Linked DNA regions of Tamandua tetradactyla. The protein of the gene in region 1 purifies or fractionates together with the protein of each later gene. This does not show direct contact. Links are inferred from orthologs where the notes say so. Each region holds a gene or a part of one and is shown on either strand. Other genes may lie near its edges.

What was found.
Region 2: the proteins of FBXL5 (region 1) and ACO1 purify together in Homo sapiens (affinity purification with western blotting; 3 studies listed by BioGRID, with this or other methods). This does not show direct contact. The link is inferred for Tamandua tetradactyla from reciprocal best matches to the Homo sapiens genes FBXL5 and ACO1.
Region 3: the proteins of FBXL5 (region 1) and MMS19 purify together in Homo sapiens (affinity purification with mass spectrometry; 4 studies listed by BioGRID and IntAct, counting the BioPlex papers as one, with this or other methods). This does not show direct contact. The link is inferred for Tamandua tetradactyla from reciprocal best matches to the Homo sapiens genes FBXL5 and MMS19.

Annotation. Positions count from the first base shown.
Region 1 is NC_135345.1:14,980,697-14,988,015, forward strand, and holds the start of FBXL5 (F-box/LRR-repeat protein 5), read right to left. Parts: upstream 3,089-7,319; 5' UTR 2,994-3,088; coding exon 2,910-2,993; intron 1-2,909.
Region 2 is NC_135328.1:63,547,881-63,555,331, forward strand, and holds the start of ACO1 (cytoplasmic aconitate hydratase), read right to left. Parts: upstream 3,027-7,451; 5' UTR 2,917-3,026; intron 1-2,916. UniProt on the Homo sapiens protein: Bifunctional iron sensor that switches between 2 activities depending on iron availability. Iron deprivation, promotes its mRNA binding activity through which it regulates the expression of genes involved in iron uptake, sequestration and utilization.
Region 3 is NC_135339.1:58,807,080-58,814,024, forward strand, and holds the start of MMS19 (MMS19 nucleotide excision repair protein homolog), read right to left. Parts: upstream 3,063-6,945; 5' UTR 2,859-3,062; coding exon 2,747-2,858; intron 56-2,746; exon of another isoform or gene 1-55. UniProt on the Homo sapiens protein: Key component of the cytosolic iron-sulfur protein assembly (CIA) complex, a multiprotein complex that mediates the incorporation of iron-sulfur cluster into apoproteins specifically involved in DNA metabolism and genomic integrity.

The DNA.
Region 1 (7,319 bases):
ATGGGTTTCCAGTAGCTATATCACTAAATGCTTTTATAACTTTGTCTTACCTAACCTAGGCTCAGATATAAAACAGAAAAAAACCCTGCCCTTACCAATCTCAAAGGATTGCTGTCTGGAAAACTAAGGTGGAAAATCTTTCCATAAAACCTTCTGAAAATGCAAGAAGAAATCCATGACCAATTTTTAAATATTATACAGCAATATATAAAATAGCCTAAAATAACTTCAGAATAAAGTATTCTAAGTAGACTACCTTAAACATATTTAATTAATGAGTTAGTGCTTGTAAATAAATGATGCTTCTAAAATATATTGTACTTGAAAAGTTCAATATTGGAAATAAAACCAATTTCTTTATAATTGCTGGGCATTTTCAGGCTCAAAATTTAAAATACAATGAAATAACACACATCATACCTTTTTAGTTGAATATAAAAACTAGTTCTAGGCTGTTTGGGTTGGGTATTGGGTTATGAAATTGGACTTGTTATACCTGGCCTATACAACCAAAGGATGGAGACAGTAAAACTTGAGATGACAACTGAACAACAAAGGAATTCTTCCCTTTATTCCTTTAAGAATATTGAGCCACCAGAAAATACTTATTTGCCCACTTTACCCCCAAGAATGTCTAGGAAAGATTTTCATTGGCTATTAGTATCAAGAAGAAGCTAGGAGATAAAATTCCATGCAGCTTTTTTTCTTTAACATCACCTTAGTGTTTGAGCCACAGTTCAGAAAATTAAACTTATACTCTTGTTGATGATCTACAAAAATCTCATTAACAATACCTAATTAACTCAGAATTAGGGGTAATTCTGACTTATGCTATGCCAAATTGCAAAAGGGAACATTTTAATTACTGAAAAGAATCTTATTTGACTCAGGTACCATTGTTTGTTGTTTTAGGCAACTGCATTTTCAAAATTTGTTGAAACGTTCTCACCAGGGGGAAAAAATAGTAACAGCCTTCTTCAAAATGTTAATGGAAGGAGGGCTAGTACTTAACTAGATAAAGTTACGAGTTTTAATTATTTGGAGAGGATCACAATCATTTGAAAATCTGATTCATCTTCTTAGACTGTCTAGGAAGATGTACACATGCACAAAATTTTCCACACAATTTCAAGTGGTCCTTGGAATCTTTCCGCTCTAAACTGAAGACCTCAGATTCCATTAGTCCTTATTAAATTTCCCTTACCTTCAAATTTTGAAGTAAAAAACTTCCCCATTAATTTCATAATTGCAATGAAATAATTTCAAATGAACTAAATTCAAAGGCCAAGAAGGATAAAAACATTACAGGGAAAGCTAACTCAAGAATTCAGGGTTAGCCGCTACTGCTTAACAACTCATCCACTCCTTAAGCTTCTCCTGGATAAATAGTTCTCAACCCTGGCTGCACAATGGACTCATCTAGAGAGCTTATAAAAACTTAACCTCTGGGTCCCACTCTCAGAGATCCTAATTTAAGTGGTCTTGGGCATCAAGAGTTTTAAGATCTTCCCAGGTGATTCTATGAGCAACCAAAGATGAGAACCAGTATCCTAGACAGTGCTCCATCTAAAGCAGCTTTTTTTCAATCTTCAAAATGAGGGGAGGGGGGTGCACAGGTAGCTCAGTGGTTAGAATGCCTGCCTTTCAGGAGGGAGACCAGCGTTGGATTCCCGGACCATGCACCAAAAAAAAAAAAAAAAAAAAAAAAAAAAAAATGGGGGGAGGGAAGGGTGGTTATGGGCGGGGGCGCTAAGATCTGAAACTCAACCTGACCAATTTGAAATTGTTGAGCTTCAATGTGGCCAAGCACTGAACACTAGGTTTCCTCCAATCACCCTACTGGGCTGTAAGATACTTTTCTGTCAATAGTAGTTCTGGTTAATGCTATGTAATTTCTGAAAATCCATACAAGTTGATTTCTATGCTTACGTAACAGGCTCATTTCTCCATGAAAACTGCCCGATATTTCCAGGATATCCGTAAATTGACAGATATGTGGAAGTTTAATACTGTTTGTAAATTATTAGCAAAAGGTCCTGAACTATCTTCACAAAAGTACTTCTTCACCTTATGCTGCGTCAATTAAGAATAGAAAAAGGTTCGCAGAGTTCAACCAACTTTACCAGAGGTCCCTTTTATTCGAGCCTATGTAGAGAATTACAACAGAAAGGAGCTACCTTATGACAAAATCGACATCCAGCAAATGTTTGGGGCAATAAAAGGTGCAAGGAAAAATGCAACTATAAATGAATAGTACAAGTTCTCTAGTTCCTAAGCCAAGAAACCTGGTCTGACTTCCAAATCAAACCAGGATGAAAAGCTGGGAAGAAAATGAGCAGGGACTAGTTGGAAGCTGAACAGGCCGGCTGGGCCAGGAAGCAAAGAAGAGATTCAGAGAAGGATGGATGGGTGTTTGCAAAGAGCCTCGGGGAGCCCCAGGACAGGGTGGCTCGGACCGGGGAGGCGGACAACCGCAGAAACGGCCTACCCTGTGCGGATTGGCAACGCGCCGCAGGTGGCTGACCAAGGGGGTCCCCGAAGGTTTTCCCTTCCCTTCCACCACCCGGGGTGGAGCGGGAGGCCCAGTGCGGCCCAGGGATCTTGGCCGGGGTCCAGGGCGCGCCCCTCCTCGCGCCCGCAGGCCCTCAGGAGAACACAGCCCCGAGGGCACGTCCGAGGCCGCCGGCGCGGGACGGGGACGCGGACTCCCGGAGGCCCCGCGGCTGGCAGGCCCGGGAAGGTGCGAGCTGGCGAACGCAGCGCTGACAGCTGCGCAGGCGGGAGTTCATGCGGCGGCGGCGGCGGCGGCCCAGGGAGCTGCGGGCACCACGCAGGCCAGGCCGCCAGAGGAACCCGGCCCGCTCCAACTCTGCACTGCCCAGCTGCAAGAGGCCGCGGCACACCGTTACCTTGTCGCAGTAGAGCCCCACCAGCTGCTTCATCCGCCAGTGTGGGGCGGTGAAGACGTCCACTTCTTCGGGGAAGGGCGCCATCGCCACTGCCTCAGCGTCCGCCTCAGCAGCCGCGGCCACCGCCTCTCCATAGACACCCTCGCCGCCGGGCAGAGGCGGCGCGCCCCCCTGCGCATGCGCCCGCCCCGTCGGCGCGCGCGCCCGGGCTGCCTGGCCAGCGGGGGCGCGGAGGCGCGCGGGCCGACGCCATGCGGTCCCCGCGGCCCACGTGACCGGGCGCGCTAGTAAGCCTCCGGTCTTCCACCACCTGCGTCAGGTTTTCTAATCCCTTGTCCTCCTCGTGTAGCACAAGAAGAAACCAAAAATTTTCCTTGTTTGTTTCCCAGATTGAAACACATTTTCGTGGGGGCAGGGGGGGCGGGCCGGAAGGGTGGTATTAGGGACGCTCTCAGCGTGTCTCCCAGTTACCGCCATGACCTCAGGCCCTGAGGCTGAAGCAGTGGAGCACAATGGCCGCGGTCGTGGGTCGGAAGCTCCACCTTGGCGCTACGGGCTTCTTTAGGAACGCTGAGCTCGACCTGGGCCCCCGTGTGCCACGTTTTGTCTCCTCAAGTCCCCGGGGCCGAGAGATGACCTCCCCGCCCTCTAGTCAAAGGCCAGAGCTTGGCTGCGCCCCAGCGAGCTGGGTGAGCCTAACTGTGGGGGCGCCGAGAACTTGCAGCCACGCGGAAAACGGTGACGCGTGACGGGAACGGCCTCTGGCGGGCACTGCCTTTGGGCGTGAGAGGCAGGGCAGAGGTCACGCATCTCCTCCGGAATGTCAGGAGACTCAAAGAAGGAAAAAGGCTCCTGGGGATCAAGAAGGCAGGAATGCACCTCAAGCCCAGGGATAGGCCTTGGCGGGTGGGGGCAGGGGAGAGTGATCACAGAAGATTGGAGAAAACATTTTGGTTGAAATCCCTCCATTTTAAGCCGAGAATCAGAGAGAAAGGAGAACAAGGTCACTCGCAAGAGGAAGGCCCATCTGCTCTTCCCCAATTACCTGATCCTTCGTCACCATCTAGGAGGAAGCAGTTAAGTGCTCCCCTTGCCCTGGTTCAGGACTGATGGACAGACACCAAAGTGAAAGAAAAGAGATAAGGCTGAAATAAACCTTGGAAGAGTTGTATTATTTGATTAATGGCAATAGACTCCAGGAGGGCAAGAACCAGTTATGTTTTGTTCACTCTTTATACCTGTTACCTGTCACAGTTCCATGACAGCACAGGGGTTCAATAAATATTTCAAAGAATGATAAGAATAGAAGGAGGTGAAAAGAACCTTTCATGATGCACACCAGTTTATTTCTGATCTTGCTATATGCCATTTATTGACAAGGAATGTGAACAATGATTAAAAGCACAGGTGAAGTTGGATTCCTGGTTTTGCCAGTTGCTAGTTTTATAACTTTGAGCAAGCTATGTGACTTCCCTGTGTTTCAGTTTCTTCATGCATAAAGTGGGAACAGTAATACCTACGTCATAGAATTGTTATGAGGATTAAGAGAAAATTTGCATATTTGAAGTGCCTAGGACAGTATCTAGCGCATAATAAGCACTGCCTGTCAGCTGTTATTATTAAATAAAATAACTCTATGAAGCAGGTGCTGTTATCTCCATTTTACTATCAGGAAACTAAAACATTTTGTAATTGCCTGGGACCCCACAGTTTGTAAGTGAATGATCTGGCCATATAAATCTACACTTGAAATTATTCTCCCAGGCATTGTGTTAGTTGGGTGGGTTACGGAGATGGCTTAAACGTAGTCTGTCCTAAAGAAACAGAAATAAATCTTGAATAGATAAGGTCCTTGATATGATCTTCCCCTTTTTCCTCCTCTGCCCCTCACTTTTTTTACTCTGCTCTTTCACTAGGGCCTCTTTACTTTTTAATATCCCCCAGAAGGCATTTCCTTATGTACCCTCCATTCCTCATTTTTTTACTTCATTCTGATCTTGGAGTGTAGAATTGGAACCTACAGATTGTGTAAAGAAATGAGCTCCATAAGAACATGAACTTTGTTTTATACCCAGCATTTAGAACAGTGCCTATCATTCAGTTAACACCCAGTAAATTCATGGCATTGTATAATTTCCATATTTTAATTAACTTTTAATATGGCATGTTTAATTTCCCATCCACCTGTGTGTGTTTGTGTTGTCCACTATCATATCCACAGAATCAGGCATATTAAGTTGGTGTTTAACTTGGAACAACAATAAAAATTAGTTGATCTACACACAGAATTTCACTCTTAACCAGATTTTGAATCTGTGCAGTCAGCTAAAAAGTAATAGCAGCTACTTGGGACTCTGGCCATTTGAGGGAATTTGTTTAAGATTACAAAATGGAAGAAATAAAGTGATAAAAGTAAGCCCTATGGGTCCTTTCTCCCTTCTAAAGAAGCTGGTAAGATTAGCTATGTGAACTGAGTAATATAGCAATTAATCATCATATATATCCAGAATAATTGATTGATTTAAATTGAACTTTAGCACTAGAGGGAAGACATTGATTATTATAGTATATTACTTTAGGTTACTGCAACCACAGTCACTTAGGAACTGTTAAGGCCAAGGTAATCATTTTAGTGACCTCTCTGCCTGATTGCTTCTGTTACGTAACAGCAGACTAATGCTAACAGAATATCCAGCCACTGGCCACAAGAAGACTGGACAAGGCATGTGGACAGAACAGTGAAAATTCATGTTAGGAATTGAAATAGGTCCCCTATAAAAGCCATGTTCAGGTGCCAACTCCTGTAGGTGGTCCTGTGGGTATGAACATATTGTATATAGAACCTTTGAAGATGTTATTGGGTGAGGTGGCCCAAACTGCATAAAGATGGGCTTTAATCCAATATGACTGAAGTTCTTATAAGCAAAAGAATTTGGACATGAAGAAGAAGCCACCAGGAACAGCCAGAAGCTGGAAGTTAATGGAACCTAGAAGAGAAAGGAGAAGAAGCCACCATGTACATTGCCATATGACAGAAAAACCAAGGACCAAGGATCACCCGCAGCCAGCCCCAGACTGCTACAGTCTTCAAGGAGAAAGCATCACCTTCTGATGCCTTGATTTCAGAATTCTCCTAGCCTCAAAACTGTGAACCAATAAGTCCCCATTTTAAACTAACCCATTGTACGGTATTCATTTTAGCAGCTGGGAAACTGAAACAACAAAACATAGAATGTCTGATAGATATACTAGTGGATTGATGGTTCTCTTTTTCCCACTTGCTTTCTCTGAAAAACTGCATGCTACTGGAAAAAATGAAAGCCAAATCATTCCCTAAAGATATCATGACACTAGACCTCTTCTGTAATATTTCCAGCAGTAGTTTTGAGGGCCCTGGAAAGGGTTACTGGCCAGAGAAAGTCAATTTTAAGGCATTTCTTTATTTGAGTATGTGACACAGCACTTCCCTCGATAGGGGTTTGTTGTGAAAGCAAATGATGAAAGAATGTTGCAATTGCAAAAACAGTTGGAATTATGGTCCAAAAGTAGTATCAGAGTTGATCCTTGCTGCCAGTAAAAATTAGCCTATCAACAGCTGCTGTAGCAGACTAGATCATTTTAGTAGTAAGAGTAGAACAAGTCCCTTTATGTGATGAATTACAGGTGATTCCTCCCCTTCTTTTATTTTTTCTGTTCTTTCCAGTTTTTAAAATGATTACATTTTACTTTGGCCATCAGAAATACATCAACTTCAGATATGTCTAAGGCATTTTATTTACACAGAAAAATGGTTATAGTAAAATATTAAATGGGATGAGCAGAAGTCAATATGTTACAAATGACTTGATGACAACTATATTTTACAATTACATTAAAATGGCCTAAAAATAAATATATTAAATTGTTAGCAATAGCTATCTTTTGGTGGTGGGACTGTGGCTGATTTTTATGATGTCATCTTTTTTTTTTTTCAAAATTTTGTAGTGGAAAAAAAGAACTAACTTAAAAAAAAAAGTCTTCATTTAATTACCATCAATCACTATTACAATGCCAGAACTATATCTGGTCTCATGGAGTCCCACCCTACCTCATACATAGGCTTAAGTACTTCCTGTACTTGTGCTTGGAGACCTCTGGCTCTGCCTCCTGCCATGTGGTCTCATCTGTTTGGGATGGGACTCCCCCAGCTTGTCCGTAGGAAGCAAGTCCAGTGAATTCTAGCTGGAATTTAGACCAGTAAGCCCCTGCGGTCCTTCCTCATGAGATAGGCATTAGACTTTGACCTTGGCTAGGCCTCAGTGGCCAGCCACGGTTACTACCAGCTCCGTTTAAAGTCCACACAGTTGCTAGAAATTTAGGAGGACGGGAAGTATCTCCCACACTTGGCATTTGCCTCTTCAGTAGCTCTTT
Region 2 (7,451 bases), on another chromosome or scaffold:
AAGCACTGGCCCCAATTCTGATATTCCAGGATAGGAAACTATAGCACCTGTTTTATAAATTAAGTTTTATTGGAACACAGACACACACATTCATTTACATATTGACTATGGCTGCTTCACATTACAACAGCAGAGCTGAGTAGTTCCAATAAAGACTGAATGGCTGGAGAAGCCCAACATATTTACTAGCCCTTAAGAGAAACAGTTTGCTGACCCATGCTCTAGCATATTTTCTCCCTATCAAAAGCTTTGGAGCAGCATTGCCCAGTGTTTTCATCCAGCCTGAAGAATCCCTCTTCTATTAAAACAGAAAGTACCCTGGATTTGACAGTAGCAGGTGTGCACTGGTAAATGTTTAAAAGACAATTTGGTGGGGGGCGAGGGGGCGGCAGGTGGTTTGTGTAGCACTTGCCCTATTCCATGATGTAAATGGACGCAAATAACTTATTTCAAGCTACCAACATGATGTCACTGAACTCGGAGGAGGGAAACGTGCACAAAGGTCAGTACAAAGCAGCTCCAGCAAACCACTGGCTTCTTGGGACACCTACAATCAAAGGCCCAACCCCCTCACTTGTAAAGACAAGGACGCTGAGGCTCAAAGAGAGAAAGTATCTTGCCTAAGGCTGGCCCCAAGGACTAGAAGCAGGCCTGGGCTCATTTGTATGGAATCCAGCTGCCTCTCAGCAGTTACTTCCTCTGTAACAGGAGTAGGGGAAAGAAGAAAAAGGAACTTTTTGCCACGCACATGGTAAGTGCCGAATAAAGGTTGTATTTAATCATTATTGTCACGTTAGAACCCCAGCTTCTTCAGCACATGGTTTTGAATCACACTTCTGGTAGGATTCAACACACAGGACCACATCGGCTGTCTCAATTAACCAACAGTTTCCTAAGACTGAAAAAGCTCTAGAAAGACAGGGACTGCTCACAACTTTTCCCAGTGTCCAGCACAGAACTGGGAACATAATAAGTAATGGTTAATAAATATCGACTGAAGGGATGAATGAATGAGATCCTACCATCAAGCGGAGTCTTACAGGAAGAACAAGCAGGCCCTAGAAAACAGAGCTGCTCAGAGGTCAGATCCCATTCCCTTCTCATCTGTGGACTGGGCAACAGCAAACAAGTTTATTTGTGTTTGTAACATTTCTAAAGCATCAGCTGCGCGCCAAGCTGACTCATAAGTGTGAGAGACTCTGGATGGAGGAAAAGAGAGGTCAGATCATTTTTTTCTTTGATTTATAGATTTAATTTGTCTTAAACTTGTGCTAATTGAGCGTGAAGCCAAGAAAACAATCTGTTGGAAAATCCCACTACCACACTCCAGGATGCTGGAAATCTCTTCCTGACAGGGGCTGACGAAGGGCCATTTATAGTGAGACACCTCTGAAAGCAGAAAGAATACCAAGATTTGGGGAAACGAATCCCAACAAACTCAAGGCTAGCAACCCCACAGCTGTGAACAGAAAAATGATGAAAAGGAAGGCGAAAGGGCTCCCCCACAAACTCCTACACACTTGGCAGCATCTTCCCATGGGCATTTCTCTGAGCCCACAGGTGCTGTGTGCTACATCATTGCTGTAATCCAGCTGCACAGACAAGTCAGTTCTGCAGACAAGGAAACCAGCAAGGTCAGGTCTGAACCATGCCACGTTTTCAGGAGGCAAACACGACTCTCCACTATCACTTTCATGTAGAGACCCAGTACGTGGACCCCAAAGTGAGGTCAACACTGAGGTTAATACTGTTCATGGACTGGAGTGGTGGTGGTGTCCCCATTCAGAGGAAGGCTCGCCAAAAAGAAACCGGGCCAGCGAATTTAAGCCTCTGAAGCATATCCTACACCAATAGTTCTCAAAGTGAGGTTCAGGGCACTTCTGCCTTTTTCACTCCCAGGTTTTCAAATGTACTTAATGGAGTTTCCCTGAGGCTACACGACACCTGGTATTAGGACAGACTGGGCGCAGAAACAAAACTGAGAATACTGCCCTCTTCCATTAAGTCTGACATTTAAGGGATTTACAAAAAATGTAAAATAATGCCACTCCTCTCAGCAACATTTTGTTCTGGGAAATATACATCTTTTTCATGAAATAATGCTGACCATTATTTTCAGACGAATTATTAACCTATTAAATGATTAAACATTAAAAACGCATCGGTTTTATTTTTAGCATGGTAAAATTATGTCAGCTCCTCAGGGCCTCACTAATTTCTAAGAATTTAATGAGTAATGAGTTCCCAAAAGTTTGAAAGCTGCTGTCCCTAGGGGTTGTTCCCCGTGAGCAGGCTTATGTTTGACGGCGGTGGGGAGAGAGGTGGACAGATAACACCATTCTGATGTCCTGGATGAACTGGGAAAGGCTGGCGAAACTAGAGAGAGGGGCTCAGGGCAGCCCACGCTCCTTCCTGGAGCTCTGAATCTATCAGGCTTCAGAGCTTCCACCGAGGGGTCCCTTCTCCCTTGGTGCGGATTTCCCGATCTGCCCGCACGACCTCAATGAGGATTTTCCGATACGACCCGCCTGGCCTTGGTGACGTCTCCCTGGGCGGCCCGCACACCCTTCGGGTGAGGAGTCTCGGGGGAGGCCCGCACAGCCTTAGGGTAAAGACTCCCCGAGCGGCCCGGTCTGCCTCGGCCAAGACCGGCGAGAAGGGCCATTTCCAGTCTCTGCTGGGGCAGAGCGGTCAATCGCTCTCCAGCAATACGTTCCGGCTTCCCCTCGCCCCACGCCCCATATCCCGAATTCGCGCCCCCCAGCCCCCAAGCCGGGCCACCCGCTCTGCGCGCCTCAGCCGGGCTCCGGGAAAGTGCCTCGGACGCGGAGGAAAAGGGTCTCATCGACTCCCCAGCGGGAGAGGAGGGAGGCGGCTCCTGCCCGGGGCCGTCTGTAAGGCCGAGTCGGTACTCACCGTGGACTGCACGACAGGGGTCCCGCGACACGCGAACCGCCACCACGGTGCTGGGCGCGCTCCCGGGCGCTGCGCGGGTACAGCCGCCGCCTCCGCGCTCCTCCTCCGGCCTCCTCGGTGACCGCCGACCGCTGGGCGGAGTAGGGGCGGGGCGGAGCGCGCAGCCCGGACCCGGCCAGTCCGGGCGCCCGCCCCTCCGACCGCAGCCCTGCTTGGTCCCGGCGGGGCGACCCCCACCCCGATCCCGGCTGGAAGGGCGGACTGCCAATGGTGGAGCGGCCGGAAGAGGAGGGACACCGCCTGGGGCCCGGGCTAACCTCTACGGGCCTAGGGCCTGGGGCCCGGGTGCCTTTCGCTGGGTTTGAGGAATAGGTTTTGATTGCCCAGGCCGCGCTAGGAAATGAGCCGAAGGGGTGGAGAAGAAATGCGGATTTTTTGTTTGCCTTTTCTTTCTTTTTTTAAGTATTTGATTTGGCCACAACGTCAGAGGCTTCATTTTCCGACCTTCCGAGTATGTGCAGTCACCTCGGCTCCCCCCGGCCCCCCTCCCCCGCACTGCCTGCAGCTGCGCCCCTAGCCTCATCGCCTACCCCCACGCCACTCTTTAATTCTTTTGGCTGGGTAGGAAGTCGACGTTTCCTTGGCTTGTCATGCAAAGTTTCTATGTGTTAAAAAAGAAGAGTTTTAGCGTGTAACAACACTTTAGAATGCATTTTGTTCACCAGTCTGAAGTCAAAGAAATAACTGAGAAAGGGCACTGAGTGCCCCTCACAGGACCCGCCTTGATAGTCAAGTACGTTGAAGTTATGGCCTAAGCCCTCTTAGGCAAATGTTGAGATCCTTGAATCCAAAAAAGCTATTAGGTCTTTATAGATCAAGGGTAGTAAGGTTTTCTTGCCCAAATTATTTGGTGAGTTGTGGTTTTATTATCTTGTGTATGTGGATAAACAGCTTATAGTGTGAATAATTAATAGCTTATCCTAATAATGATTGCTCCCATCTTCTGCACTGTAATTCAACTCTTTCTACAGCTTTGGGAAGTGAGGAATAATTCCCCATAATGCAGGTGTGAAATGTTCTGCAGAAGGTTCAGTCCTCAGGCCTGTCTGACTTGCAAACCTACATTTTCCCCATGCTACCCTTTAGTACAGCCATCTCCTAGTTATATTTAATTTTGAAATATAAATAGTTATATTAAATTTTGAAAAGGAGGAGTTACTGTATTTCCATTGTGGGAGAAGAACTTTCTTCCCACCCAATTCCTAATTCCCTTCCATTCATAACCAGTTAATAAACTTTCTTTGAGTGTACACTATATGCCAGGCGTTCACCACAAACCCTGAAAAAGAATAGTAATAGAGTACCTGTGGAAGTTAGGGAGAGTATGGGAAGGGCAGGAATAGATGGAAGGATGGGTCTAGGGAGAGAACACATCCAATTAAATTCCAATTCTTAGTGAGACAGTCCTTCAGAAAGCAAAATTTCTCAATGACAACCTTGATACTTTGCATAATAATATGATAATTGATAAGCCTTTTGATAGAAAAGATTTAAATCAGAACTATAAAGGGAATTGAGATTTACTAGGAAACACTGGCCAAAAACATAAAGGAAATAATTCCTTCACTACACTCCATTGCTCTTGGAAATGTCACCATCACCTCCTGACTGCATATCCAGTGGCCTCTCTTAGGTTCTTGTCCTTGTTGACAAGATGCTGCTCTGTGGTATTTGACACTGGTGACTGGTCTTCTCCTGAAATGTTAACCTCTGCTTTAATGATCCTGTCTCTTCTTTGATCCCTGTCTCTCAGACTCTCTTTCCCCTATCTTTACGTCGATGAGTTTTCCTTTATTTTTTACTCTATGCAAACCCACTGCCACCTCTAACAGAACCCTGCTATGTCCCCATCATTGGGCTCGGCCTTCTGATCTGCACACTTTACAGCCGTTTATGGGGCGTCACCCCTGGACCTGTCGTTCATCATCTAAAGTGGGAATTCAATATCTTTAACAATCTCTTTCCCCTCCCATCCATCCAGTTTCTTCCTTATCCGGATTTCCACATCTGGAATTTGGCTCTCATTGTGTGTTACGAAAGTTAAATATTTTAGGAGTTTAGGACCTATTCCTTTACTCACACAGGGACCTCTTAATAAATAGTTCTGTCATGATACTAACAGTTCTGCCAGTGACCTAGAGGAGTGTTTACACTTTATAGACCTTCTGAGAGGAAGCCACCCAGGTGTGGCAAGGGCTCAGGCACCACAGCTCTGCGCCTGGGGCTAGAGACAGAAGGGACTTCAGTTGAGGTAACAGTAGTACTTTAGCAGTCTCAACTGCCAGAAGCTTCTGCTACTATAGGAACAACCATGAGTCAGAAGACATTTTAAGCTCTGAGGAATACCTAACTCCAGCTGACTTCAGTTACTTGTATCAACTGGACTTTCTTAATTTATTGAGAATCCATCTTTCAGTGGATCTGAGCTTTATGGGAAAGACATGAAAGGTTCTAAAAACTATACCCAACTAACTTTGCATGTACTTCACACACACTTAATGGAAAAGAAGTACTGTAAGAGAAAGTCTTGCATAGTGGTTCTCAAGCCTCAGGGTGTGTATGAAAATAAACACCCCCATGCTGCACTCCAGAGGGGCTGAGTTTGTTGTAGCTGGTCAGATCACACTTTGAGAAACACTAGTGGTGGTTACCAAACTGGGTATTTCTCAGAATTGTCAGAGCACTTATTAAAAATAGTGCCCAGGATGGAATCTGTGCTCAGATTCTGAGGAATCTAAATTTTTACTTCAGGTGACTCTGCTTTAGCATGTCTGCAGATTGGCTCCAAGGAGCTTCTGCACTCCCCGAGGGCAGTGTGTTCATCACCCCAACCCCAAACCCAGTGCGTGGTAGGTGCTCAGTACAAGTCTGTGGGCTCTGAGTTACTGACCGTCACTTTCTTTCCTCTACATACCCTTTCTTTTCCTGTATGGCCTGTTTGCTCTTCAGGGTGTTTAACATGGGCTGGTGGGGAGACACCTAGAACAAAGCATAAGATGATCTTTCCTGAAATTCATTTTTGAGGGAACTCTAGAATGCCCAGCTTCATCGCTGAATATATGTTTTCTTTCTTCCTTATTTTGAGGAAGGCCCTCAGCATTTGAAATAAATGTTTCCTGTTCCTCTAAAAAAATAAAAGACTATATTCATAATAAGGAAAGATAGTTCTTAGCATCCACTTGACTGCCTGCCACCTCCCACTCCCACCCCTGCCCTGGCATCTACGTAATTTTTGTGTTCTCTTTCCTACTGCCTAAGTGCTAGAATCCCAACCTGCCATCTCAGGGAGTCAGGACTCTCTGGGCAGTTGTTTACAGCTAAGTGCCATTTCCCTCAATATCACTAATAATAAAAGACAAATGTCATTAAATGCCCCATTTAATGATTACAACAACCCTTTGAGGTTAGTAACATTACTGTTGCCATTGTGCGGATGTGGACACAGAGATTCAGAACAATTACAGAACTTGCTTCAGTAAGTTCATACATGGTGACACTGGGTTTGCACCAAGGCTGGTCTAACTCTAGAGCTTGTGCTGTTAACCTCTATGCAACCAAATGTAATTTTAAAGTGAGACCATCAAGCACTCTGTTATAAATTATTTGTTCTTTGCAGAAAAGAAGAGTGTTTTGATTTGCTAATACTGCTGGAATGCAATGTACCAGAAATGAGTTGGCTTTTATAAAGGGAATTTATTAGATTACAAGTTTACAGTTCTAAGGCTATAAAAATTGTCCAAACTCAAAAGGCCTCCAGTGAAAAATACCTTGACTCAAGAAAGGTCAATTGGTCCCAAACACCTCTGTCAGCTGGGAAGTCACATGGCTGGTGTCTGTTGGTCCTTTGGCTTGTGTTTAAAACAGCTTCCTTGGGGGCGTTTTCTTTCTGCATCTCCACAGGTTTCTCTCTGTGGGCTCTGAAGCTTTTTCCAAAATGGTTCCCTCTGAAAGGATTCTAGTAAGTGACCCACCTATAATGGGTGGAAACATACTTAATCACAAAGTTCCACCTACTATTGGGTGTGTCACATCTCCATGGAGGCAATTTAATCAAAAAGATCCCATCCAACAATATTGAGTCAGAATTAAAGAACAAGGCTTTTCTGGGGTACACAACCAGTTTTGAACTGGCAGAAAGAAGGATTTAAATGGTCTAAAAGGGAACTTTGGGCTATCACAATTTTGCTAGTCAGGGTTCGCTAGAGAAACAGAACCAACAGGAAATATCTGTAAATATGAGATTTATAATGGTATCTCATGCAACCATGGGAATAGAAGAATCCAAAATCTGCAGGGCAGGCTGTGAAGCTGGCGGCTCCAATGAAGGCTCTGGATGAGCTTCACAGGAAAGGCTTGCTGGCTGAAGAAGCAGTGAAAGAGTCGTCTTCCTTAAAAGCCCTTAGCTGATTGGATTATCTTGTTGTGGGAGACGTGCCTTAGTTGATTGTAGATGTAATCAGCCACAGATGCAATCA
Region 3 (6,945 bases), on another chromosome or scaffold:
GGGAGTCCGTCCCACATAGAGAGGGGGAGGGCAGTGAGTTTGCTTCTCCTGTTGGCTGAGAGAGAGAGAGGCCACATCTGAGCAACAAAAGGGGTTCTCTTGGGGTGACTCTTAGGCCTAATTTTAAGTAGGTTTAGCCTATCCTTTGCAGGGTTAAGTTCATATGAATAAACCCTAAGATTGGGGGCTCAGCCTATTGCTTTGGTTGTCCCCACTGCTTGTGAGAATATCAAGAATTCTCCAATTGGGGAAGCTGAACTTTCCCCCTTTCTTACCATTCCCCCAAGGGGACTCTGCAAATACTTTTTGATTCACTGTTCAAATCCTTCTGGGATTTATTGAGGCATCACTCTGGACAAACCTACAAAATCTCATGCTCTACTCAAGGTTCCATGTACTCAATTAAGCTGTCCACATAAGTTATACTAGGAAATGCATTACTGACTCCTATTTTTACCAAGAACCCACCAGGTTCTTGACAAAGACAAAATTGGTAGTAGCTGCCTTTGTGAGGAGGGGATGTTTCTTTTGCTTTTACTATTGTAGGAAACTCTGCTGCTATGAGTGGCTAAAAAGGAAGCACTAACAAAGCCTGACAGGCTGGAGGATTAGAAAGCACATCTTATTCTGAGGATGCTTCAAAACTGTCAGCCTTCAATAACCCTAAAAAGGGCAGTGATCTAAGATTGAGAATACCAATTTAAACCTCTAAACTTATCTTCTTTATACGGCTTCTTTGCTCAAGGATCTACAACCGCTATTCCTACAACAGGTCATTTAAATACCTCTGATTGGGATCCAATGTTATGCATAATTCAATCCCATCAAACACCAAACATTTCAACTTTATCTGTTACTTCTCCTCGTACCAACCTTCTTCATTTAGTCAGGAGACCAAAAGTACAACAGGCTTAGTAGTTACTGAGTTTTGGCTGGGCTGAGCTTGTTTTAAAGTAGACAATAGTTTAGGTCATTTTTTTCAGACAATAACAAAAAAAAATTTATAAACACGTAAAACTTGGCAGTCTCTTATCAGATTGTAGTCTCAGTATATTTTGAACCTGAAAAATCCAAAAGTATTGTTTCATAATATATAAATGTGAAAGAAAAATTTTAAATGACACTGGTATAATGTTTTATGTTGACAAGGGTTTGGATTGCATTTTTTAAAGCAACGAATGTTCACTTAAGGTATGTGTTCTTAATTGGATATAAATGTTTCACCTAAAGAGAAAGAAACTGTAAACAAATACTGAACTCTAATGATATGCAGGCTTAAGTATTTAGGGGTAAGCGTATGGATATCTGCAACTTAAATGGATGGATAAGTGATCAATCAAGTATATTAAAATGTTAATGGCAAAAAAGAGTTAATAGCAGGATCTAGGTGATGAGTGTATGTGGGCTCCTTATAAAATTCTTTAGACTTTGCTTATGTTTGAAAAAATTCACAATAAAACACTTGGAAAAATGACACTGGCACATATTGTACTCGTTAACACTGTCAACACTGATAACTCACTAAATTTATTGTAAGAAGTCAAGCTTCGTGGAATGGCAGAAGGGGGCATTTGTTCTCTGATGCTTCCATAGCATCTGAATACACCTCCTAGAACCCTTTTTATGGTCGACTGTGTTCGTAGTTGTCTCTCCCACCGCAGTATAAGTTTCTGAAGGGCACCAATCTGAACTGATTTATAGCTATATTCCTATTGCTTTGCATCATTTGAAGAATAACGTGTTCAGTAACGGTGGAACGAATGAATGAAAGCAGAATACTGCTAAGAACCAAAGCATTACATTTTTAGCAGACGCAATTTATTCATTTCTCACGTATTCTAAAAGTTAGTATCTCAGTTTTCAAGAGAAGCAATGTTCTTTACTTCTCCCCAGACATGCAAAATTTCCAAAAAATACCTTTAAAATACAAACTTACGGATACCTACAATATTATTTTGTATTCTGTGACTTATGCCTGAGGTCTGAAGGCCTCCTAACATTCAGTAACGCTTTGGTAGATAAATTTTCTTCTACAAAAGCACAGTATTAAAATTCCAAAGACACCTAATATTATTTGATTCAAATCTTAGGAAGCTGTCAGAACCAAGAGATTGCTGAACTGGTCATAAGCAGGTACTGGAAATGTAAGAAAAGATAAAACCACACTGCACATGAAAAACTTGAGAAGCAAATTAATCAAGAACTTTACGAAGAAACAGAGGGAGGACACTGAACATCTCAAACTGTGCCTAGAACGCCTTCCCTCCTCTCCCTCCAATTACAGCCAGTCGGTGGCCGGCGCCGCCCCGCCGCTCCCAAGATTCCACGCGACTGGTGCTGATGCCGCTGAAGCTGCATTTTCTCACGTCTACCTCCTAGATACAACGTGGTTTCCCCGTGAGAGCATCCGATGCCGAGTTCCAGCTCCCCGACCTGCCTGATCTGTGACACTCCGCAAGTCTCTTCTCGCTGTAACTCAGTTTCCTCATCTGTAAAATGGTAATGATTATCCTAACCCCGCCTCTCCTGCACAGAAGATGGTTACGGAAGACGAGGAGTGTAAAAGCGCTTTAAGGAAGATGCAAATAACTTTCAATTTTGGTACGGCTCTTAAGCACCCGGTGCTCCTGGGGACAGTCTCTCACAGTCACCTCTATCCCTCACTCTTCCCGCCCGACCCCCTGTGTGGAGGCCGCTCCCTCCTCTTGGACCCCATGCGGAAGCCGCGCGGCGCCGTCTGCCATACCTGCAGCCACCTGGTCAGCAGACCCCTCCTGCTGACCCACGACAAAGTCGTGCACGAGGTCCCACAGGGCGCCCGTAGGCGCCACTGCCTCCAAAGCGGTGGCGGCGGCCATGACACGAACTAGTGACCGTAGGAGGGGAAGTAGGTGGTGGCACGAAACAAGACTCTCCGCGCATGTGCTTCATGAGCCAATCGCTTGGCGAAGACTTAGGGGGCGGAGCGCTCCGCGGATCACGTGCCCGCCGGCTCCTCGCCTGGCAGTTCCAGGGAGGGTGGGGCGGCCCCTCCCCGAGGGGCGGGGCCTGAAGTAGGGGCGCTGGCGCGGGGAGTGCGACGGGTGCTGGGCACGCAGCGGGGGCCATTGAGGGCGCATAATTCCCGGCCCGGTTCCCGTGGAGACGGGCGACTGGGCGGGCACCTGGCTGGGTGGGGCCGAGGGGCGGTATGCACCCTGCGGGAAGCCAATGAAAAAATCAGGCCCGGCCCAAGGAGGCGGTGCCGTCGGTCACATGCGCACCTGGGGCGGGCGGTGGCGGTGCGGGCACTGCGAGCAGGCGGAAAGGAGCGGGGCCGGGCTGGGGCGGGGTTAGACAGGTGAGTGACAGGCTCCGGGGGGCCGGCCCCAGCTGGGAGCCCCGAGCGAGCTCCGAGTAGCTGCGGCGGTGCCCGCCCCCTCTCTCCGCCTCTACAGCGGAGCTGGTCTCCCGCCGGGCACCGTCGTGGGCCCCCCTGGCCCGGCCACCTGGTGGACTGTGCTGGGGAGTCGTCCCCCTCCTCTACCTTCGCCCGCAAAGTTTGTGGCGAAGCCGGCGCTGGGTCAGAGTGCACCCCCGGGGGGGAAATCGGGGTGCGCCCGATGCCGGGCGGCAGGAGCCGTTGACCTGGGACGCCGCGGTCCGGGGCAGGAGCGCGGAGCAGCCGTCCACCCACCCCCCCGCCTCCGGTGGATGGGGCCCGGCTGAGGAGCCAGCATGGGCAACTGCGTGGGGAGACAGCGCCGGGAGAGGCCGGCCGCCCCGGGACACCCCCGCAAACGAGCAGGTAATGACAGGGAAGGGAGCAGAGCAACGGGCACCTTGCCAGTTGTCCCCCCTTCTTACTGGAGCCCTGGACTTCCCGAGAGACCACTCCCGGCGCCTGGCGCTTGGGAATCCCCCGATGGCTGCTCGGGAGCGGGACGGGGGCCTCCTCCCCAGTCCTGGATGGCCGGGGGAGCTGAGTTGGGGCAACTGCGAGCGCTGACCCGGCTGCGAGACCGACTCGCTCCAACTGGGAAGCTCCTGGTGGGGGTGGGGGCAGGAAATGTTTGCAGACCGCAGCGGGGCGGACGGAGGGGGGAGGACCCCGGGCGAGGGCGCCGCTGGCCTGGCAGCCCGGGCCGGGGTCTGACGCCGGCCGGTTGGGGCACGGCGCGGGCAGCCAGGCGTCCCCAGAACTCGGAGCGAGCGAGACGAGCTCAGTCGATCCTTCCAAAGACTGTTATTATCGGGCTGCATATCGTGCTGCCCGAATCCGACTTGCAAAAGCAGCGCAGGGCTCTGGGAAGGAAATCTTTATTTTTCCTGCAGGGTTTTTAGAGTCTCCCGGCCGTCTGGGAATCTAGGAAAGGTGGAGTGAGGTGGGGGTGAGAATTTCTCCCTCGGGTTTGTTGGGATTCTTCCCAGCCTTTGGTATGGGGATCTCTTCGCGATTCGGGAGGGCCGGGTAGCGCCTTCTCACTTTCTCGGTACACCCCTCCTCCTATCCTGGCGCTTTGCCCCGGACACTCACTTCCTTCTCTGAGGATGTTGCAAGGATCTTCTGAGAATGATAAAATAGTAGACTTAGAAATTTGTCTAGATTCCAGATAGACCTACTTCCTCCTCCCTATCCAAAAACACAAATCCAGAGAGATTGAGCAACTTGCCCAAAGCCACACAGCTAATACAAATTGGGCCCAATTGCTACATATCCCTTTCTGTAAGAGGAATCACTGGCCTGAAGTTGTTAATGAAGTGGAAACTCTAGTTGCAGTTTCCTGCCTCTCTTTGACCCGTAGGTGTGTTACTGTGTTGTGGAACCTGGGAAGGAGAATGGAGTGAAGGGGGGGTGGACCTGAGGAAGAAGGGAAGGATGTCTATGTAGTGGACCGGATGACATATGGAAGGAAGAAATGTGTTTTTATAGGAAGGATAAGGTAAAACTTAAGATCGGAATCTTCTTATAGGAAGGCATCCCTAATCATTCTTCTGAGCAAAGTTAATTCTCAAACCCAAGGGACTTTCATTCATTCTTTCAATTTATTATTTATGTGCTTTCAATTTATTATTTATTTAATCAGTCCTAATAATTGATTTCATTGTATTTTTCACTGCTGACAGCCTCCCCTCCTTGAAACTTTCTTCTCCCTTCCCTTCTTAGCATTATTTTGGTTTTCCTCTTTGATTACTCCTACCTACCAAGCATCTCCTAGGTGGGTACACTCATGGTTAAGTTTCACATTGTTTTTTCTCTCTTTATACTCCCTCCCAGAGAAATCGTATTTGGTTCCATAATTGCTTTCCCCCTGTGCTATATATTCAGCTGTTACCTGTCTCTTGAACCCCATACCCACATCTCTAAATGGCTGCTGGACACTGATCTAGATATCCTCAGATTCAGCACCACTAGAGCCAAGCTCTGTATCTCTTCCCCCTTAATCTGTTTCCCTTCCTTACCCTTACATTCTCTGAGCTACGTAATTATACCTTGAAAAACTCCCCCACTGACTGTCTTTGTCTCCTAGCCAGCTAGTCACTGCTGACTCTTCCTTTCATGTGAGTTACAAACCTGCCCCTTCCCACTCTACTGCAAGGTCCTGTCACCTCGAGTCCTGCTTCTCTCCCAGTCTGAAGTCAGTTACCCACCAAAGGCAAGTTCATCTTCACTCACTCATCCGAAGCAGAGTGTCTATACCTAGAAGTTCCCCCAAAAGTAGTTTGTTAAATTGACCTATTCCAAACCCTGTAATTAATTTTATGTTGAAAAATCTTTCTGCATCTCCCTATTGTTTACAATAATCTAAACTTTTAAGGATATGTCTGACCCAGTCCTTCCTTTTGGGACCTGATTTCTTTCTCTTCCTTAACATTAAGGTCACCAGCTTGTACTTGTTTCATTTCCCCACCTCATCTTATCAAGAGTCGTTCTCCCCTTCATGGTCTACCCCAAATCCCTTATCTTTCTTGAAGCACCTTCCCTAACAAATCTCCTCCCACATCCAGTGGAAGAGATTGCTTCTTCTAAGAACTCCTGCAGATACATTATCTATGCTACTTACTGTATAATAATCTACTCCATATTACTGGTTATGTGGGTTTCTTTTTTAGCTGTGAAAAATAACATATATACAAAGAAAAGCAATAAATTTACCAGTGCATTTTAACAAGTAGTTATAGAAAAGATTTTAAAGTTTGGTATTTTTTTCATTTTTTCTTCTAGTTGCTCCAAGACACTGAAGACCAAAAGAAATATCAATATATTGATTCACCAGTCATATTCATTTGTTAAATCCTATCTTCCTTATTTTTCTCTTCCTTCTCTTTTTTTATAAAAAAAAATAGCATATATGTAAAAACAAAGCAATAAATTTCAAAGTACATCACAACAATTAGTTGTAGAACAGATTTCAGAGTTTGGTATGGGTTACAGTTCCACAATTTTAGGTTTTAAGTTGTTGGTCAGGTTTTTAATGTTTACATTCTTATACCAGCAACTACACTGCAAGCCTTGAAACCTGAATTCTGTCTTATTCTGGTGTGTCTCTGTTCCTCTTTCTCAGTCACTTACTCAAATAGTCATATACACACATACACATACGTATACATAGCATTTAGCACAATAACTTGTACAGAGAAAGCCCTCAATAATTGTTGAATTTAGAAAGCTAAACCTGACTTCATCCTACATCTGTATTTTTCATGTAAATATTTTACTGAAGTATTTATCTGCATTTTAAAATCTGTTGGTATATTATTATTTCACTTATGTGGATCTTACTATGAATAGCTTTATTCATAAAGTCCAAATCAAAGGGGGCACTCTAAGGTGACAGAAGTTTGGGTATAAAGAAGAAATCCTTAACGTCACAGTATGCACCTGGCATTTTTGTAACATCTGCAACTTACCCTTTGAGAAGGACATAATTTTAAGTTGAAGTTTAATTCTAGATTGTCTAAAAC